2 linked regions of the Drosophila melanogaster genome follow. The protein of the gene in region 1 interacts with the protein of each later gene in a pairwise test. Each region holds a gene or a part of one and is shown in the gene's direction. Other genes may lie near its edges.

Region 1 (7,510 bases):
GGCAAACAAGGCAGCAGCCTTATCGGCACCCACGAACGAAGGAATTCGGTTAAATATGTTGTTGAATCCAATGCCAACCTTGCCCTCTTGGATCTTTTTCCAGGTCTGCACGCGCAGCGAGCGCTTTGTGGGCTCTATGGGCTGAGCTGTAACGACATGTTTGTTACAATAATATGCTCCAATAACATAAACAGATGACTAAAAGAAACATATTTTAGTTTATTGCAGCGGTGAGCTCATTTGTATTTGTGTTAGTGATAGCTAGCCTTCATTAAATCAAGCCACATTCCATTCCAGAGCTGATCTGTAGGTATGATAACGTGCGGACCCAAGCGATTCCCCAACTTCTCGGACATGTTAGTTTTTGTTAGGGGAGGTTGACTGTAAAAGTGCGAATCAAATGTGCTGAATAGCAACACAGCCGCTGCCCTTATCGTCTGTAATGAACGCGTGTTATCACGCTAGTTGGCGCTGGACTAAAAGTGATACCGCGGCTGATATACCGGTTTCCACGCCCAGTAATCAGATGTGAAAGTGACCCAAACATACACCAGCAAACGCCGGCCCGTATCATTGAAAACAAAAATCTGCATGCAAAATCGGGACGGCAGGGTTGCCACCTGTGCTGGTTAAAGAACACACGTCAACATGCATGTGTGTGCGCTTGTTGAATTGAAACTGAAGTATGAATTGGCCGCTAAAACTATTTCGGCCGTCTTTCTTGGCGGGTTCAATGAGAAATACAAATTAAGAACCCATATCCCGATATTAACGCATGACCAATAAGTTGGCAACGCTTCGACACGCACACACTCGCACGCACACATTTCTGGGCGATGAGCGCATCGACTCGCGAATTTCTCAATTAATATGTATTCGTATGAGCAGTGCCGCGAGCGTGTAGTGGTGTCGGGCAGCGCGGGGCGCAAGCGAGCGGGTGAATTGACACTGCGAGCACAGAATCTCGAAATCGAAATCGGCCAAGAGCACCGAAAATGATTCATTTCACTTTTTGTAATTGTGGGAAGAATGCGCGCAAAGATGACGTAATTAGTGTCAACAACAAGCAACTTCGGCGTTTCGGCAACTCTTATTTACAGCTAGGGTCTCCTAGAAATAAATATGGCGGAATTCGACAATCTTCCGCTTCTACACTGGCACCTAGAAAATGGCTGAATCGGGCACCTGCCCCTCTGGAACATGGGTATTCACTTTGGATGCCCAGCGAGCAAGGCGCGGCGCGGCGCAAAACATTTATGGAATCACCAGCACTCGCGAGAATTACACGCAATTTTCGTCGGCGAGCGGGCGGGGTAGTAGGGCAGGCCACTTACTTGTCGAAGACACCTCCTGCGCGGTGTTTCCGCCGTTCTCCGCGGCGACAGCGGGGGCTGCGTTGCTTTGGTCCTCCATCGAATCGCTCGCCAATTGTGTTTTAGTTCTGCTCACAATTTTTTACCGGCTCAGGCTACGGCTACACAGTTCACAGTTCACAAGCAACGTCTACCGTTCTCCGCTGGCTTCCAACAAACCACGTTTGAAAATTGACGTTTCTCTGGTGACGTAAAAAAACATCGCCGATGCGATACATCGATACATTTCGTATAGAGTTGCTTGCGATGGTTCTAGCTAAAAATATAATAAAAGTTATACATCTGAGCTTATACACGCCACCGACAATATACATTAGATCTACATGCAAGTCCATCATCTTTTTTCGCTTCAATTGTTATATATTATTTTAATAAACATCGAGTACCACCCAGATAGTTCGGTAAAATTGTAAGCTGTGATCACTGCGAATAAGGTATTAAAAACTAAAAATAGATAAATTTTATATTATTTTCTTTATTTATGTTTCTTGTAGATAAAGGAATCGAAGGATAAACTATAATTAACACAGGCTCCTGCCCCGGCTTAGGATTTTCTAAATGTAACTCTTCTGCAAGGTCCCTAAGGAATGTTTTATATAAAAATATAAAAGAATCTTTAGTGATGCGACTAAGACTATGTAATAAACAAAAAAAACAAGATGGAATGCTATAGTCGAAATCCCCGACTATCAGATACCCGTTACTCAGCTAGTGTGAATGCGAACGCGAAATTTCATTAAAAAAAACAAGAGGGAACGCTATAGTCAAGTTCCCCGACTATCAGATACCCGTTACTCAGCCAGTGGGAATGCGTTTTTAGGGCGTTAGAATGGGTGTGGTAAAAAGTTTCTTGGCAAATCGATAGAAAATTTCAAGACTAATTAAATTATGAAACAATATCAACACATTTTTTAAAAGTGTGGGCGTCACAGTTTTGTGCGGTTTGTGGGCATTAGAATGGGCATGGCAGCATGGGTCAACAAACGTGAGCCGCGTCTCTAAAATCTGTATGCTTAATCCCAACCTCTAGATTTTATAGTTCCTGAGATCACGACGTTTATACGGACAGACGGATAGACTCGGCTATTGATCCGGATTATATATAATATATATCCCTTATATAGTCGGAAACGCTGCTATCTGCCTGTTACATACTTTTCTAGTACGAATCTAGTATACTTTTTTACTCTACGAGTAAGGAATAAGAATAATACACACGACTTTAGAAATTCAATCCTAATACTGTTTATTTTATAACCTACTATTAAACTTTTAAGTATGTACAGTCAATAACAGTAATATTAGTGATAGGTGCCAACCAAGATATCATCGTATGGCCTGTGACATGTGCAATGGGGTCACCATTAGGGTAAGCTCCGCGTCCTTTAAATTTGCCCCACGCAAATTTGCCTCCTGCAAGTCGCTGCCAGAAAGATTGCATTTTTCCAAGTCGGCACCTGCTAACACCGCAGCTCGCAAATTACAGTTCTTCATATTGGCGTTCTTCAAATTTGCCACACGTAAGTTAACACCGGCCATGTTGCTGCTTTCCAAACATGCTCCTTTGAGGTTAACACCCTCTAGATTAGTTCGAACTCCTGTTGGGTCTTCAAAATTACACCCACGCAAGTTTGCACCTTCCTGAAAGATTAGGCAGATTAGTTTTCTTAGCTAATTGGATGGCGTAAATCTGTTACAACTAGTTTCACAAATGATGTGATTATTTAATAGCGTTTTCTGTTAAACCTGTGCTTACCATATTGGCGCAAAGTCCCCGCACTGACACTAGTTGGGCACATTCCAAGTTTGCGTACTGAAGATCCGCCCGTTCAAGACAGCAGTAGTTAAGATTGGTGTGGGACAAATTGCAGTGAGACATGTTGGCATACTGTGAAGGAAAAGGGATAGTCTTTAGTATAATTATTGTCTTCAACTTGATAGATCTCCACCAATAATTTTCCATTTTTTTCCGGACGAAAATATCTCCTTTACTGCGTAGCAAACTACAATAATATTAAAATGCAGTCGTGTTACGGCGTTGGAAAGACTTAAAATGTTGTATTACACAATGTATGCATTGAAATGAAATTCGTTTGCGCACACCTTGAAGTTAATGTTGCGAAAATCTAGCTTTCGTAGATCGGCCCCAGACAGATTAACGCCTTGAAAGCGCAGCTCCGTTATCACGGAGGTCTGAATGATGGCCTTGATGACGTCGTTGCGCGTCAATGGTCTGTCCCCCAGCGGCGTCTCCTGCTGTCCCAGGCGTTCCTCCAAATGGGTGACAAGCGAAAAGATTCCGAAGAACCGCGCCTCCTCCAAAACACCCAACACACTGATGTTCGAATCGCATACGAATTGTCCGTGGCGGAGGTAGTTGATGATCGGCTCGAAATATCGAGGACTTCGATCAATCAGGTATGCTCCCTGCTCGTCACGCTCGCTGGGCTTCATGCTGCCATTTTGCAGGAACATCCTAGCAAGCATTGAATCCGGTTCTCTGCCCACCAGAGTGTCGATGGTAGTGGCGTAGATTTGTCCACCCACGTTCAGTTTGACCCAACGATTGGGAGCGAATCCGCTAGCGGCGACGAAATCGCCGGCTGCCGGTGCGGCGTCGTCTTTTCTGGCTCCGGAACCACTCTCCTTCAGATCACTATTCATTTGATTGGGAAGTTTAAAAAATTTCCACAATGCCTGGCAATTCTCAGCTGCTTTATCTTCCCGTTCTTCCCCCGTCATTCCATTAAAGTCGTCGATTAGGGCTGTTCACACGAGGCCGCAACAGCAGCAGCGTTACATTTAATAGTTGTGTGAATTATGAGATATTGGTGAATTTAGCTAATAATTTAAATTAATAATTTAACGAAGAGAAGAAATAGCTCAAATAAACAATTATCAGAAAACTGGATATGTCTTATCTTATTACTGTCCATTAGCTACAAAACATATTATTATTTGAAATTTAATATTCATATAACGATGATTTAATATTCATATAAGATGGTATAAAATAACAAGCGAATTGAATTATGAAGAACCAATTTTCAGATGTGAAAATAAAAATATTTGTGGACATTGGACATTGCAAGCAGAAAACTATTAAAACCATAAAAGGTGTTTTACGAATGCATTTTAAATTACCAATTGATTGGTTAGAAGTGTAAACCCTCAATTTTTGTTTTGACATTGGGCGCCTGTGCAAAGAGTGTTATAGTTGGCAATCGACACCGATAGTTTGTCATCGGGAAGCTGGTATATGTAAATACAAAATAAATTATAAAAATTGGCTTCCACATAATTGAGAAGGTCGCTGAAAGCGTACGAATAAACCCCGCAAATAACCAAATGTCTGCCGCCGAGACAGGTCCAATAGCCAGCGGCAGTGCGGTGTCCACTGGACAGCGCGGTGTCAGCCGAGTACTTGCCAAGTTGTCCCAGTCTCTGGCAGGAGGAGAATTCTATGAAGCGCACATGATGTATAGGACGCTGTATTTTCGGTAGACTATTTGTATAATCCGTGCAAGGAAATGCAATCCAATAAGAAATTCGATTCCTTAGGTATACGGCGCAGAAACGCTATCAGGACTGCCTGGAACTGCTCTTTGATGGAGCACAGCAGCTTATTGCCAAGGAACAGGAAAGCAGCGCCGCGGACCTATGTCTCCTTCTGGTGGACACGTTAGAGAAGCGAGGACCACAGGCGGAAGATACCGACAACTTCCTGTGGGTTCCACGCCTAGGGGCTTTGATCCGCGGCCTTAACTCCGCGACTGTAGAGCGCGAAACCCTTATTGTGAGTCTTTGACATTATTAAACGCGACTTATACCGGCAATGAAATTTTTTTTCCTTTAGCAACGGACCATTAAGTGGAGCACGGCCTTGCATGGCCAGTATGGCCACCCAGTGCTCCATAAGTTAATTGCGCACGTGTTTTGGACCGAGGGCAACATTGAGTCGGCTCGTCACCACTATCTACTCTGCCAGGATGGCAGCCTATGTGGGCGAGTGCTAATTGAAATCAGCCAGAGCAGGGGCTTCCAGGGCGAGATGGACTTGTTTCTGGTACAAGCTGTGCTGCAGCAGCTATCCCTTAAGGATCGGAAAACTGCAGAGGACACGTTCACTGAGTACACACGCTACCACGCCAAGCTGCTTAAGCATGAGTTCCCCTATAAGGAACCGCTGGTCAACTTCTTGTACTTCCTATTCCGTCTTATTGACGCGAAGCGTGTGGCTGGGTTTCGGGCCTTACGCAAGCTTTACGATCCATCCCTAAAGCGCGACACGTCTTTTCTAAAGTACGTAGCCAAGATTGGGGTGCTGTATTTCGACGAGCATCCGGAGGCTGCTCATTCTGGCCCGCCCGGGTTGGGCGGAATGTTTGGTGACATATTCAATCGCCTTATGGCGGGCTTTGAGGAAGATGATGCGGACGATCATGACACGACCCTGAGGCGGCAAAACGAGAATAACGAACTGGAATAGCATGTATGCATTAATGAAGCATACCGAAGAGGGATCCTTTGTTGCTGGTCTTTTTGGTTGCTCAAAGTCAATGAAGTTCTTTGCCACAAAATCATCGGGCTATTTTGTTATAACTTTAAATTGCTGTATGCTAAATAATTTTAAATAAGCGTATGGTCTTGATTATGCAAATTATAAAAAAATAGTTATTCAAACAAAAATCACTATGACAAGTTCTCAAAAATCTTGTTTTGGGAATATCTTTTGAACTGGTAATTGGATTTTTGTGCTTTTGTAGTGCTTGCCTCCTACGCACAATATCCGGGTGCGCTTCGTCACAACGTGAAAATACATCGCGATACATCCCATAGTCGACATTTCGAGGATGCAATTAAAATGGGAAAAAATTGTAAAGAAAAATTAATTAATTGAAATATTTGAAAAGTTTTATAATTTTATAACATTTGTATTTCCAAAAATAAATAACCAGCATCGAAAGTCGACATTGAATATGCGGGATCAACCCGGCTTGTAACATAAAAGCAGAATCCCTTATTTAGGTGTAGTATAATTTGTTCTCATTTCCCTCCGTTTTTGTGTTATTCTGTATTGGCGGAAGAATTCAGAAAAGTTGTTTTTCCAAATTTAAATTATGTATATTTTAAGTCAGTAGTGGACTAGGTAGTAGAATTCGAATACGTGTGAATATTTCGTAAGTAGGTCAATCGTTTTTAAAAATTATACAATGTATCTAACTTGTCCTTCTGGAATCGACGGCTTAAAAATAATACGACGAAATCCCAAAAAAATATTTATGTTGCGATATAAGTGTGACCAGCACAAGGGTAAGTTAGCGTCGACCTGGAAAATACAATCTGAGATCTGGTCCGTCCGAAAAATCATTGAAAGTGCCCTGGTAGAATAAATCAGATTGGGTTTATTTAGTTAGTTTTATTTTCGTTGAACCACCCAAAATAAGAGTAAAGTTGAGAAACGCTCAGAATTAAAGCCACAACCTTTAACCGAAAAGGCCAATCACCGCACAACAAAGCCGAGTGAGAGCAAAGTAAGCAGGACCTTAAGGTTGGGCCTCTGTGCATCGATAAACATAGGACATTGTGTTATACTTTCAGCGAAATGGCCGACAAAGCTGCAGCGCCCTCTGTGGACTGTGCGGCGCCATCTGTGGACTGTGCGACGCCTGCAATACCAGCCGTGGAGGATCACACCACGCTGACCGTTCCACCTGCTTCAGCGAACAAAGCCACGGACGCTTCCACTTCCACTGCCGTCCAAGTGGCCGTCGATGGGGGGGAGCCGGAACGCTGCTGCTGGATCTGCTTCGCCACCGATGAGGACAACCGTCTGGCGGCGTGGGTGAAGCCCTGTCAGTGCCGCGGCACCACCAAGTGGGTGCACCAGAGCTGCCTCTACCGCTGGATCGATGAAAAAACCCAGAAGGGTAACGCTCTACGCACTGTATCGTGTCCGCAGTGCCAAACGGAGTACATCATAGTGTTCCCGCAGATGGGCAAGCTTGGAGGTGCTTTAGAGGCAATAGATAACCTCATCAAGCGCCTGAGCCCCTTCCTGGCGGCTGGTTTCTTCGTGGGCTCCCTCTACTGGACAGCAGTAACTTACGGAGCAGTCACATTTTTACAGGTACAAC
Region 2 (5,084 bases), on another chromosome or scaffold:
GAAAATAAATAGTAATTTAAAGAGTATAACTGCGTCGGTGCGCATTATCAGTTAATCCCTCCATTTTTAGCACTATTCTCGACTAGGCTTTTTGCGCCTTCGCAGCTACGGTCACACAGCGGCGGGCAGAAAGCTCGCGGAAAAATTCGGAAGAGGCGGAAAAGTACGAGACGCCCGATATTGCAAAAAGCGGAAGCAGATTACGTGTAGGTCAAGGCCGTAGGGATGAGGGCAACTTCCATCTTTGACCTTGCTGTTGGTGATGGGGTGCGGCGACCTTGGGTCAAGGACACGACCGAACAAGAGGCACCGAATCCAGGAAACGTAGTCAAAGTGGAGGGCATGCCTGTGTGGGCGGGGGATGTTCCAGTAAAAACAAAGTAACTTGATTATGACCTCTGTGTTGCAGTTAGGAAACGAACTTGTTGACTTTGTAACATTACATAATCGGAAGCCCAGAGTGAGGAGAACTGCTGCGAGATGGCCAACAAAGTGCTGCGAAAGGTGACGCACTGCGTCTTCGACATGGACGGTCTGCTGCTGGGTGAGTGCTGCCGTGCTTGTATCTGCTTTCTGTGTTAACTATTTGCCGAACAGACACCGAACGCCTTTATACTGTGGCCACCGAAATGATCCTCGAGCCCTACGGCAAGACATATCCCTTTGAGATCAAGGAGCAGGTCATGGGCCTGCAGACGGAACCGCTGGCCCGGTTCATGGTCGAGCACTACGAGCTGCCGATGTCGTGGGAGGAGTACGCACGCCAGCAGCGCGCCAACACCGAGATCCTGATGCGGAACGCCCAGTTGATGCCAGGTACTAATCCCAGTTCTCGCTTTGCCGTCACGTTTCAGACACGGAGAGGATATACGAGGAGGTCACCCGGCAAATAGCCGCCTCCTTTGGCCGCCCGTATCCGGAGGAAGTGCGTTTCCGGGTAATGGGCACCACGGACCAGCGCTCGGCAGAGATAGCCATCACCGAGTGCCAGCTGCCCATCACAACCGGAGACTATCTCAAGCGGTACTCGCAAATGTGCCACGAGCGATTCCACAACGTACCCCTGCTGGAAGGTTAGCACCACGACCAGAAAACTAATCGGCATTTCTCCCTATAAATACTTCTGCTTCAATTACTATCCTACTGTGATTAAAGCCGTTTGTTAATCGTGTGCTTCCTTCCCCGTTCAAGGTGCTGAGCGCCTGCTGCGTCACCTGCACGCCAACAAGGTACCCTTTTGCTTGGCCACCAGCTCCGGCGCCGACATGGTCGAGCTGAAGACGGCCCAACATCGGGAGCTGTTCTCCCTGTTTAACCACAAGGTGTGCGGTTCGTCGGACAAGGAGGTGGTCAACGGCAAGCCTGCGCCCGACATTTTCCTAGTGGCCGCCGGCAGATTCGGTGTGCCGCCCAAACCGTCCGACTGCCTGGTGTTCGAGGACTCGCCGAACGGCGTGACGGCTGCCAACAGCGCCGGAATGCAGGTGGTGATGGTGCCGGACCCACGACTGTCCCAGGAAAAGACCTCGCACGCCACACAAGTGCTGGCCTCGTTGGCGGACTTCAAGCCGGAGCAGTTCGGGCTGCCCGCCTTCACGGATTGAACTTAATGGCTGACGTACTTTTTGTAGCTAAAAGATGCTATTGCTGTAATTGGAAATCGATGTACCTACCAAGAAAATGAATTTAAGTGTAAATGTTATCCCATATACACGTATACGTATGTGTGCATAAAGCATCTGGCTTTGCCTTTATTTTGCGCCTAATCTACATAGTTTTCCAGCGTAAGTTCTATTTGCCAACCGCTTCCAGGTTTTTGTGTATGTCAGGAGCAGCGTGGTTGGCCAGGGAGAGGGACACTTCCTTGCCGTTGCCTGCGGACATGGGAATCGATGTGGGGGAAGCTAGCAGCGCACATTATGCTAATCTACTCACCATAGCGGGCGTAGAGGCGGGGCTGGACGCCAGAGCACTCGCGCACGAGGATCGGCAGGTCGGGATTGCTCTTCTTCAGGTTTGGATAGAACCTTTCCACGTATTCCCTGTAAAGGAACGCTGCTTTAGCAAATTATATAATTTAAAAGCGGAAAATGACAATTTCACCTGACTCCCTTGGAAGTGTCTCCTTTGGGATCCAGAATGATTCGCAGCTCCTTCAGTTTTGGAGTAAAACTGGCCAATCGGAACAGAGTAATACCCATTTTGGCACCACTTTTGCGATTTTGAAATGTTCAGGAAGTAAGTCTATTTAAATGTCGGTACTACGCAGGGTTGTCAAACTGTCTTGGATTACATATTGGTATTATTGTTTTTTAAAAACAAATTACTTTTTGGCTCAAACTAAAATAACGTCTAACTCACCAGAGACGCGAACCATTAGTTGCATCGTTTGAATATCCATTCCAAAGACAAGAACCAAGGCAATTGTCTTGGCTGACACCAGGTCAGCATTTGATTGGCCCACATCGATAAATACCGATAAATGCTTGACGGCCAGTCACTCATTTGTTTTGGTAAACATCATTTGTCTCTGGAAAATATTCAATTGAACACGTATTTGAACAATTATGGCGTCCGTGCATTGTCAACTGTGGATGGGAAGCGTAAGTAGCAACGTGCATTACCCCAGACACATGACCCTTTAAGCCCGCATGGCCATTTCAGCTGGAGTCCTACATGACGGAGAACTTCATAATCGCCGCTTTCCGGAAGATGGGCGAAGATCCCACCACGGTGCGCCTGATGCGCAACAAGTACACGGGCGAACCGGCCGGCTACTGCTTCGTCAACTTCATATCCGATGACCATGCGCTGGACGCGATGCACAAGCTAAACGGTAAGCCCATTCCGGGCACCAATCCCATTGTGCGATTCCGTCTTAACTCGGCCAGCAACTCGTACAAGCTGCCCGGGAATGAACGCGAATTTAGCGTCTGGGTGGGCGACCTCAGCTCGGACGTGGACGACTATCAGCTGTACAAGGTGTTCTCCAGCAAGTTCACATCGATCAAAACCGCCAAGGTGATCTTGGACAGCCTGGGGTTTTCCAAGGGTTACGGCTTTGTGCGATTTGGCATCGAGGATGAGCAGAAATCAGCGCTGTACGACATGAACGGGTACATCGGATTGGGTACCAAGCCCATAAAGATTTGCAATGCCGTGCCCAAACCCAAATCCGAGTTGGGTGGTGCTGTGGGCGAAGGCAACACAAACTATGGATATGGAAGCGGTATGACTGCAGCAGGTGGCACCGACTACTCGCAGTACTACGACCCCACCAGCACCTATTGGCAGGGATACCAGGCCTGGCAAGGTTACTACGAGCAGGCCGGTGCTTCGATCACAGATGCGGCTGCATACTACCAGCAGGCCATGTCGCAGTCGCACTCTAATCCGCAGACTCTGGCCCAGCACGCCGAGGCCTGGAGCGCACAACGCAGCGCCCAGTACGAGCAGCAGCAGCAGCAGCAGACCGCTTCCGCCGCCAATGGAGCTGAGGATGAGAACGGACTGGTGGAGCACAAGTTCGTCCTGGATGTGGACAAACTGAACCGAGAGGCCATTGATGCCGACCGCCGTCTGTACGATGCTCTGGAGAGCTCTAAGTGGCTGCCCATTGAGCAGCTGGAAGTCTTTTAGGATACTTATCTACTATATTTATAGCTTACTATAATTACAGCTTAGATATAAGCAAAAAATATAAAAGCCTGACTTGTAGCGTATTATTGTTTTTGAGCCTGCTATAAACTTTTATGCTCCTGAATCTACATTTCTTAACAAAGGATTCAAAATAAAGGATACATTTTTACAAAATATCCCTAATATCCTTACAACAGATGTATTTTATCGATATACAGACGGAATACTATTCTGTCCGTGTCATCGCCATGTCGGCCTATCGACTGTCGATAGTTTCTGCCTTGGCCCGAGACTTTCGGAGATTGTGCAGACAATTGCGGACTAAATAAGCGTTGAATCATGAAGCGAGCGCGGCAGCCGAAGATTACTACGCAGGCCCTGCTCGATTTTGACTTGGGCGAGAGTTCCTCGGATAGCGACTTCCTGCCGGACATCGACAACTGCTCGGACGGATCGAAGGACGAGAGCGATGGCGACGGTAGCAGCAGCGACGCCAGTGGTGGCTCCGATTCTGAATCGGATTCGGATGCGGAGAGCGAGGATTCAACACTGCAGCTCCGGCAGCTGTTGGCGGAAACGGAACCGTCACCACTGGAGAACGGGATCAATGGAGTGGACCACTGCGCAGCTTCCTCCCCGGCAGCACCAGTAGTGCCTCGTGCGCCACTTCAGCTGTCTAGTGCTCCGGCCAAGCGGATGTGCTGCGTCTGCCTGGGCGAACGCAGCGACGACGTCAACGAGATCGTGGAGTGCGACTCCTGCGGCGTATCTGTCCACGAAGGATGCTATGGCGTCAGCGACAACGTGAGCATATCCAGTACCAACTCCACCTGCTCGACGGAACCGTGGTTCTGCGAGGCCTGTCGTGCTGGGGTCTCGGAACCGGACTGCGAGCTGTGTCCCAACAAGGGCGGCATCTACAAGGAGACCGACGTGGGCAAGTGGGTGCACCTCATCTGCGCTCTGTATGTGCCCGGCGTGGCCTTTGGCGAAGTGGAGCAGCTGTCCTCGGTGACGCTTTTCGAGATGCAGTACAGCAAGTGGGGCGCCAAGGTGTGTTCCCTTTGCGAGAACGCTCTATTCGCTCGCACGGGCGTTTGCATTGGTTGTGATGCAGGCATGTGCAAGACTTATTTTCACGTGACCTGCGCCCAGGTGGCCGGCTTTCTTATCGAAGCGCACCACGAGGACGATGCCGCCGATCCGTTCTACGCTCACTGCAAGGTGCACTCGGAGAAGGAGATGATCAAGAAGCGACGGCGCAACTACCACACACTGCGGCTCAATATGATGCAACGGGCGAGGGAAAAAGAGGCGTTAGCTGCCGAACATGAGACACCTGCCCCTCACCCAAATCCAGCCCAAGCACGCATTCAGCGTAAGCTGCTCAAGATCCAACACAAGTATACCAGGCACAAGGAGCTTAAGCCCACGCCGTGGGTGCC

The links.
Region 2: the proteins of CG9853 (region 1) and Secp43 interact in a two-hybrid assay, tested with the Drosophila melanogaster proteins (one large-scale study listed by BioGRID).

Annotation. Positions count from the first base shown.
Region 1 is NT_033777.3:4,397,105-4,404,614, reverse strand, and holds CG9853 (uncharacterized protein), read left to right. Parts: upstream 1-2,587; 5' UTR 2,588-2,699; coding exon of another isoform or gene 2,700-3,014; intron 3,015-3,129; coding exon of another isoform or gene 3,130-3,261; intron 3,262-3,476; coding exon of another isoform or gene 3,477-4,037; exon of another isoform or gene 4,038-4,105; intron 4,106-4,424; 5' UTR 4,425-4,721; coding exon 4,722-4,873; intron 4,874-4,934; coding exon 4,935-5,169; intron 5,170-5,229; coding exon 5,230-5,862; 3' UTR 5,863-6,057; downstream 6,058-7,510. Other genes in the region: lost, read right to left, coding at 1-146, 1,335-1,413; CG14647 (uncharacterized protein), read right to left, coding at 2,700-3,014, 3,130-3,261, 3,477-4,037; CG9855 (uncharacterized protein), read left to right, coding at 6,979-7,503.
Region 2 is NT_033779.5:4,451,846-4,456,929, reverse strand, and holds Secp43 (tRNA selenocysteine associated protein), read left to right. Parts: upstream 1-2,476; 5' UTR 2,477-2,567; coding exon 2,568-2,603; intron 2,604-2,664; coding exon 2,665-3,639; 3' UTR 3,640-3,761; downstream 3,762-5,084. Other genes in the region: Gs1l (GS1-like), read left to right, coding at 481-544, 598-816, 1,192-1,604; ND-B8 (NADH dehydrogenase (ubiquinone) B8 subunit), read right to left, coding at 1,792-1,874, 1,936-2,042, 2,104-2,201; CG15439 (uncharacterized protein), read left to right, coding at 3,979-5,084.